Linked DNA regions of Mus musculus. The protein of the gene in region 2 interacts with the protein of the main gene of each other region in a pairwise test. Links are inferred from orthologs where the notes say so. Each region holds a gene or a part of one and is shown on either strand. Other genes may lie near its edges.

Region 1 (4,391 bases), on a different chromosome or scaffold from region 2:
TCTCTGTATCATGCTGGTTCATCAGCTCCAACAGCCGTAGCTCAATCTGTGCCTGGTTCAGGAAGGCCTTTTTGTTCTTGATGATCTTGATGGCCACCAGCTCCTGAGTCTGGTGATCATAGGCTTTCACCACCTGTCGAGACAAGGAGAGTTACCTGGGAAGGTGGGAGGCCCACCAGCCACACCTTTCTAACAACTCACAGCCCAGTGCTCACATCCCTTATACTGGATACAAAATAACAGTTTTCTTACAAGAAGCCTTGTGATTTATACTCATACAGAACTAAGAGGGAAACTAAGTGGCTTGACTGGCTGGTCCAGGACAGAACTTGCAGCAAGTGAACCAGTGAACCACTCGGGGAGGAGGGAATGTTGGGAATGTTAGTGGTTGTCTGCATCCAGATACTGGATGAGTGGGGAGTCCCACACCTGGCCAAAGGAGCCTTTGCCAATAAGAGAGTCAATCTCATAGCGCTCTAGCCAGCGCTCGCCACTGCGCACAATGTAGTCGTGGTTGTCGTCATCATAACCGTGGTTCAGGACCTTCTTCTCCTTTTTGGTGCTCGAGTCCTGGGGTGGCGCCTGTTGGGCCCGCCGCTTCTTCTTCGCATAGTATACCTGCTCAGGCAGCCAGGAAACCGGACCCTTAAGTGACCCGGGCAAGAAGCCAGGACCCTTTGCAACACCCAACCAGGGAAGTCCATTCCCCGCTTTACCTCATTGATGTGCTTGTAGGTCTTGATGAGGTCCACCGAGAGCTTGCGCAGCGGGGCTGAGGCCGCATCCCGGAAGGCCAGGGGCAGTCTCCGGGGCAGGAGCCGCACATCAGGTAGTACCTGTGGTAGAGCGGAGCAGATGCTGAGCACAAGCCTTCACCTCAACTTCCAGGGAGAGAATGGGAAAGCTGACGACTCACTGACCATGCCTACATTTCTCTAGCTCCGATCCCACCTGTAGAGCACAAGCACACTGTGTGGGCTCCCCATTCATCTGTTCATTATGTGAAATGAGTGATTTACCTCTGGCCTTCCATTCTGCCCCAGGTCAGCTCTTTTGCTCCATATCTGGGTGTTTACCCCTGAATCTTTGCACCTGAGACCACCATTATGGGGAACCATGCCAATGAATTCCCTGTATCCATGTCCTCACTCTCAAGTGAGTGTTTCTGCCCAGTTACAAAGCTCCTGGACTGGGTTAGTCTCCCTGGTCTCAGCTTATTCTCATTTCCACCCCCCTCGACATCTCTCTCATGCCCCTTACTCCAGACCTCGTTCTTGTTGTGAACCTTCAGACCTGTGTTCCTGTCTGCTCTGTGCCAGTGACAGTTCTGACCCAAGACACACATTACACTTCAAAACCATGCTGTGAGAGGGCAGGCCACGGAGAAGCTCAAGGATTCCGTCCTCAGCAGGAATGAGGGTGGACTGTGAGGCCTCCAAAGTCCCCAGAGATCCTCCAACAATCATGCTCTTGTCTGGAGACCCTTCAATCCTCAGGCAGGTGAGAAGCCAGCTGAATGCCTACCTGTGTGTGTTCCTGGGGCCCCGGAAAGCCAGAGAAAGGACCATGGCCTGGTGGGACGGCCATGGTGGGCTCAGAGGGCCGCAGGGGCGTGAGGCCTGGAGCGGGAGCCCGGCCGGGGGGCGCCTTCTCGCATCCTGCACCTCGGCTGCCACCGCCGCTGAGACCTGAGAGCAGGTAGGAAGTGGGAAGACAACATGGAACAAGAAGGCATGTAGGTCAGGGTCAGTCAGAAGAGGTGGGTATGAGTTAGGGGCAGGACCAGGGGGAGACAGGGGACAGGGCAGAGCACCAGCACCAGGTAGCCATGTACAAACAGAAAGGGTAGCAAGTGGGTTAGCACAGCGTGTCTCTCAACAAATGAGGAGCCAAAAAAAATGAATGAAGCATCACATCCAGAGATGTAAAAGGGAGCCATCAGAGCCAGACAGGGGTGGGAGAGGGTGGGTACAAGGCCAGGGCAGGAGGGATAGAAAGAGGCCAGGAATTAGGAGAGCAAAAGAAGGCAGAAACCGTGTAGAGTCTGGGCAGTAGAACTCAGTCCTTCAAAATTTTACTGGTGGCCAGCCTGAGTCCCTCAGATAAGGCCCCGCCCTCACACCGTCTTCCCTCAACACCAAGGGCCCAATTTCAAGCCCAGTCTACCCACTAGTTTCTTTCTATTCTAAAGAACATAGCAGTCCTTATGGACCTCCCAGCAAACCCAAGGTTATCTGAGAACTCCTTTACATGCAAGCTATAGATGTTTCAACCACCTCGGCACTTTCCCCTGGGACCGACTCCATACTCCAAGACCGCTCCCTGCTCCCTATATGAGGTCTCTGGAACCAGAGATCCTTCTTTTAAGCAGTCTATATTTATCCCACTAGGATTCCCCCATTACTCCAAGACCCCTACTCCTCAGGAAAACAAGGGAGAGGTGTCATTTTTCAACATCTAAGAGTCACGGTCTTTTTCTTCTTTACCCTGAGGTCCTTGCTAGCTCCTCTATTTCTACGCTGGGTCATTCCACAATTGAGCCTATTCCTAGAAGGGCCTGACAGCCAAATCCCTAAATATCGCACAAGACTTCACTCACTAAAAGTGTCCTTCGGAACAAAATCCCCTTCTTAGGAGCCTCCCCCTTGTCAGATCCCCTTCTATGCTATGTCTTGCCACTCCAGGTCCCCTTTATTGGGGCTTCACAGATAAACAACCTCTTCCCGAGCCCTCCCACACTAGGACCAGCTCTTACAGCTCCCACCCCTACCCGGGTCAGGGATGGCGCTGGGCCCACGGGGGGCTGGAGCGCGATGGGGACCCCAGTGCGGTGGGCGAGCGGCCAGCATGGCGGCGGTGGTGGTGGCGGCGGCGATGAGGAGGTGGCCGCCTGTCCCCGGCCCGGCTAGCCTAGCCAGCCCCGCGGCGGTGAGGGCAAGCGGGACAGGCGGCCCGGTGGGTGACAACAGCAGCCGCCGCCACTGCCACCGAGGGGGAGGGGCGGGGAAAGGAGGGGACGAGGGTCAGACCAGGGCACGCGGGGGAAGGGGACAGCAGGTGGACGGGGGAGGGGCGGGTTAACCCTCGCCCTACGGCCCAGCCCCGCCCCGCGTGGCCACCCGCCCCCAGGGACCCTGGCGTCCCGCCCCCCACCCGGCAGGCCCGCCCCGGCCAGTGGAGTCCCGGCGGGCGGGGCCCAAGAGAGCCCGGCAGGCCGCACCTCCCATGGCAACAACCGCGCCATTGGTTGTTGCTGCCAAGAGCTTAACCAATTAGCACTCAGGGCAGCTGTTGCTAGGCGACAGCGAAGCGGCCAGCGCAGCCGAGCCCAAACAAAGGGCGGGAGTGGGGCCTGGCTGCCCCCTCCCCGACTCCCTCTCAGGACGGCTCCCTCGGGCTCAGCCTCTTCCAGGAATCCAGCTATGAAGAGCCGGACTCCGCTGCAACGGCCCAAAGCCCCCTCCTTTCCCTTGCTAAATCTCGCGGGGACGGGCAGGGCGGTTCCCGGCCTGCCCCCCACCCAAGCGTGCCGCCCCGCCCGTCGCAGCACCCTTACCTGAGGGCGTGGGTAAGGGGATTCAAACTGCTCGGGGAGCCCGAGCTCAGACCTGCCCACTGGCTGAGGGTGTCCGGTGGACGCGGCGAGCCAGGGCCCCGATTACCCAGTAATGCAACCAGCAAAATGGCGACCACAACAAACCGGCCCCCCTGCCCCGGCTCCGCCCCCACATCATTCACGTGACCTAGCGGAGCACAGTGCGCCTGCGCCTTAAGGGTGCTGAGCCGCGCACGTGCGGAGCAGCCACCAATGGAGCATGCACCATGTGACCGGATGAAACTTTCCAGGCACCACCCCCCGAAGCACACAAAGTTGATCAAGGGCGCATGCGTCTCGAGGCCACTTAGCAATAGGCACCAGACAGGGGAGACAGATGAGTCTTTTAATAGAAAAACAAAACAACTCCCCCGCCCCCAAAAAATCACAAGCCACACGTGCAACAGTAACAACACACATCTCTTCAATCCAGACAGCTCTGAGTTTCAGTTCTTCACCTTGGGAGGTGGCCTGTGAGGAAATCAGAGGGGGTCGAGTTGTAACCACTTTTGGCTTCTCAGGGCCACAGGTAAGGGAGAGGTCTGTTGTGACACTCACCTGTACACACCGACAACCACGGCGTGGTCTCGCTCATAAGGCTCTAGCGTCAGCTGCTCCTGCGGCTTCATGTTCTCCTGCTGCATCTTCTTCACTTCAGATGCAAACACAGCCTCTGCTGACGCAGTGGAGTCAATGCAGTTGGCCTAGAAAGGAGTCAGGACTAAGTTACAGATTTGGAGACCCAGGCTTTCCCAATTTTCTAACTTCATTAAAGAAGTTTTAATTTGGCTCACAT
Region 2 (3,277 bases):
TCTGTCCTTACCAAGGACTTACACTGCTGTCCACCTGTCCTTACCAAGGACTTACACTGCTTCATCCATCTGTCCTTCCTCCCTTCCTCCCTAGTCCTGGCCCCTACTGGTTCCCTCCTTTGCTTTCTCCTACCTGCTGAACTTTAGGTAGCGATCGGAGGGGTGTGAATTGGGCTTTCCGTCGAATGGCAAAGCGTTTCATGGATGAATATGTGCTCTGAGGAGAGAGGTGGTTGGCTGAGCAGGGCTTCCAGCCAAACTCTTCTCATCCTGCCCAGCCCAAGGGTTGTTGATAGAAATCACAGCTGAGAGGCCTGGGGAGCGAACACCCTGAGACTGTCTATAAACAGCTGACTGTTCGGTGATGGAAGGTGGTACTATACAACTGGGCTGCAGGAATGGGGGAGGGAGGGCAGCAGATGGGAGCCATCACCGTCCAGTGGAGGCCCCCAAAGCTACCTTCCTGTTCTCCCCACTGCAGCAGCTACTCTTTGGGGGCTCACGTAGGGAAGAGGCTAGGAGTACAGGCACACTGCCACGATGTGCGGCGCTTGAGTGGTTTATTCAAGTGAGAAACCAACTCTCTCTCCCTATTCATGCATCTCCCCCTGACTCTTGTTCAGCCCAAGAAAGAGCAGAGAACTTAAACTTGTTTGTAGCTCTTTACCAAGGACTTATAGTGCTTTGTCCATCTGTCCTCACCAAGGACTTACAAGTGCTCTGTTCGTCTGTCCTTACCAAGAACTTACACTGGTTTGTCTGTCCTTACCTCATCTCTCACCTGTCGTCACTGCAAACTCATCTCAGACCCTCTTCTCGTCTAGGCTTCAACCTCTCTGGTCTGTTTTGCCAACTCACAAAGACTAGATGTCTCCTCTCCTCGGGGCTTCTGCATCTGCAGCCCTCCCCATCTTGTCTGAGTCACAGCCTCAACTCTGGTCTCATAGGCAATCCTTATCTTCCCAATGACAGTGCCTTAGCCATACTACATTTTGTAAAAAGACTGCTTAGCATGCCCTTTGTAAACATTAAACAATTTTTTTCCCGAATTTATGTATGTGTTGGATGCCCATGTGAGCCAGAAGAGGGCATCAGATGTCTTGAGAGGGAATTACAGGCAGGCAGGTTTTTTTTTTTCTCCCAAGACAGGGTTTCTTTGTATAGCCTTGACTGTCCTGGAACTCACTCTGTAGACCAGGCTGGCCTTGAACTCAGAAATTTGCCTGCCTCTGCCTCTCAAGTGCTGGGATTAAAGGTGTGCGCCACCATGCCTGGCTGGCAGGCAGTTATAAGTTCTGGCAGGCAGTTATAAGTTGACCAATGGGAGTTAAGTTGCCAGCCCTACTCATCCATTCCCCTACACACACACACACACACACACACACACACACACACACACACACACACACACACACCTTCTATTTTTAAACACAGGGTTTTGCTACATAGCCGAGGCTGTCCTGGAATTCACGATGGCTCAGCCCCAGGCAATTCTCCTGCCTCCTCTGGGTTACAGTCATGTTCCACCAAGCGTGGCTCTAAACTACCAATTTATGACACCAATCCTTCTCCCACGTCCTTTCAGTACCTTATACATTTAGTTTTAGAAAGAACATGTCACCATGTGACATCCTATATATTTCATTTTACATTTGTGGGGTGGGGTTTATTTTGTCTTTTATTATTTTGCCCCCCTTTCTAGAATATACACACACACACACACACACACACACACATATGTATATATATACACACACACACACACATACACACATATATATATATACACACACACACATACATACACATACACACACACACACACACACACACACACACACACACACACACATATATTTTTTCTGGAACTAGAACCATGGCTGAATCCAAAAGCCAGTTAGCAAATGCCAGTGGAATGAAGGAATTAATGCTTGGTTGGTAAGTGTTGGCCATGTTTAAGCCACTGTACTGATTTGATAGTGACACACATAACAGTCTGTCATCTCTCACCCTGGGTCCCAGATACCCAACAAAGGAAGTCAGATCTACCCTGAAGAGGGCTTGGTCCCAACTCCAGCAAAAGACCAAATACCCTGAGTCCCGGGTCTGCCAATTCTACCCACAACCCTCAGTGTGCCTCCTGAACACCCCTTCCCCATCCTGGGAGGGTCTCGGCTCACCCTGGTGTTTGTCAGACTTTCTTTTAATGGTATCCGTTGAGCCAGACCCAGATGATGTCTTCCCCCTCCGTCGTCGGAGTGAGGGACAGCCTCCTGCTCGCCTCGGAGGGGTAAGGAAGCTGGGAGGAGACAGGACATTCATTTCCTGTAGTATCTACAACACCAAAGTCTACCCGTTCAGCATCCCCCGAGAGCACAATAATACCTTGGCAAACACTTATCAATCCCAATGCCCTGGGTGGGCTGGTGGCCATGGCTCACAAGGGACTGGGACAGAGAACACAGTAGACATTGTCTTGCAGGAAGTGGCAGGGAGAGGGCAGAAACAGAGATACACGCACAACTAGGCTGACCTCTGACCTTCCCGGGAGGTCTTGTCTGCTGTGTGTGTGTGTGTGTGTGTGTGTGTGTGTGTGTGTGTGTTTTTGGGATGTGAATGCTGGAGGAGCACGCCACCACTGAGCCAGACCTCCCTCCAACCTCTCCCTTACTTCACCCCACTCCCTGAGGCCTGCTGACCCTTGCCTTCCTGGTGCAGGCACTCACCCTTCCTTTGTTCCCACATCCACACAAACTCACCAGGCTGAACCGGGGTCTTCAGGAGCAGTCTTGAGGCTTGGCTTGCTGAGGTCCTTCTGTCAGTACAGTCCCCGTCCCTGAGTGCCAAGCAAGGGCTGGGCATTAGCTAAGGGCTTTGCAAACACCAGCGCAGTAGCCTCTAACAGTACCAGTGTTAACCTCACTTGGCCGATGGGGATGCAGAAGCCAAGACGCAGGCAGGTTAAGGTGAGCTTGCACAGCTAGTAGTGGTAAGGGTCAGGAATTGAACTCAAAAGCCATCTATTGTCAGTTTACGCTGTAGCCAAATGACGCAGCGCTCCCCATGTCCTCCATGTCATAGATAAGGCTCAGCTGTCAAAGTCTGAACCCTCGGCCCTGCCCAGTGACTTTTTCCCGTCTGGGGTCGAAAGGGAATCTACACTCTCCTTACCTGCCGCCGCCACATGTCTCTCTTCTTAGCTCCTGTAAGCTGGGTCGAGTGGAGGAGTGAGAGGAGCCTGGAGGTGGATTCTGATCCACGGCAAGACAGGAAAACA

What was found.
Region 1: the proteins of Troap (region 2) and Dyrk1b interact in binary tests that used the Homo sapiens proteins (3 or more experiments, as listed by UniProt). The link is inferred for Mus musculus from reciprocal best matches to the Homo sapiens genes TROAP and DYRK1B.

The regions. Positions count from the first base shown.
Region 1 is NC_000073.6:28,178,806-28,183,196, reverse strand, and holds the start of Dyrk1b (dual specificity tyrosine-phosphorylation-regulated kinase 1B), read right to left. Parts: upstream 2,882-4,391; 5' UTR 2,850-2,881; coding exon 2,771-2,849; intron 1,689-2,770; coding exon 1,525-1,688; intron 837-1,524; coding exon 717-836; intron 619-716; coding exon 430-618; intron 134-429; coding exon 1-133. Other genes in the region: Fbl (rRNA 2'-O-methyltransferase fibrillarin), read right to left, coding at 4,042-4,066, 4,154-4,299.
Region 2 is NC_000081.6:99,077,806-99,081,082, reverse strand, and holds part of Troap (tastin), read right to left. Parts: intron 3,252-3,277; coding exon 3,172-3,251; intron 2,837-3,171; coding exon 2,760-2,836; intron 2,448-2,759; exon of another isoform or gene 2,435-2,447; coding exon of another isoform or gene 2,386-2,434; intron 2,300-2,385; coding exon 2,181-2,299; intron 279-2,180; exon of another isoform or gene 218-278; coding exon 134-217; intron 1-133. UniProt on the Homo sapiens protein: Could be involved with bystin and trophinin in a cell adhesion molecule complex that mediates an initial attachment of the blastocyst to uterine epithelial cells at the time of the embryo implantation.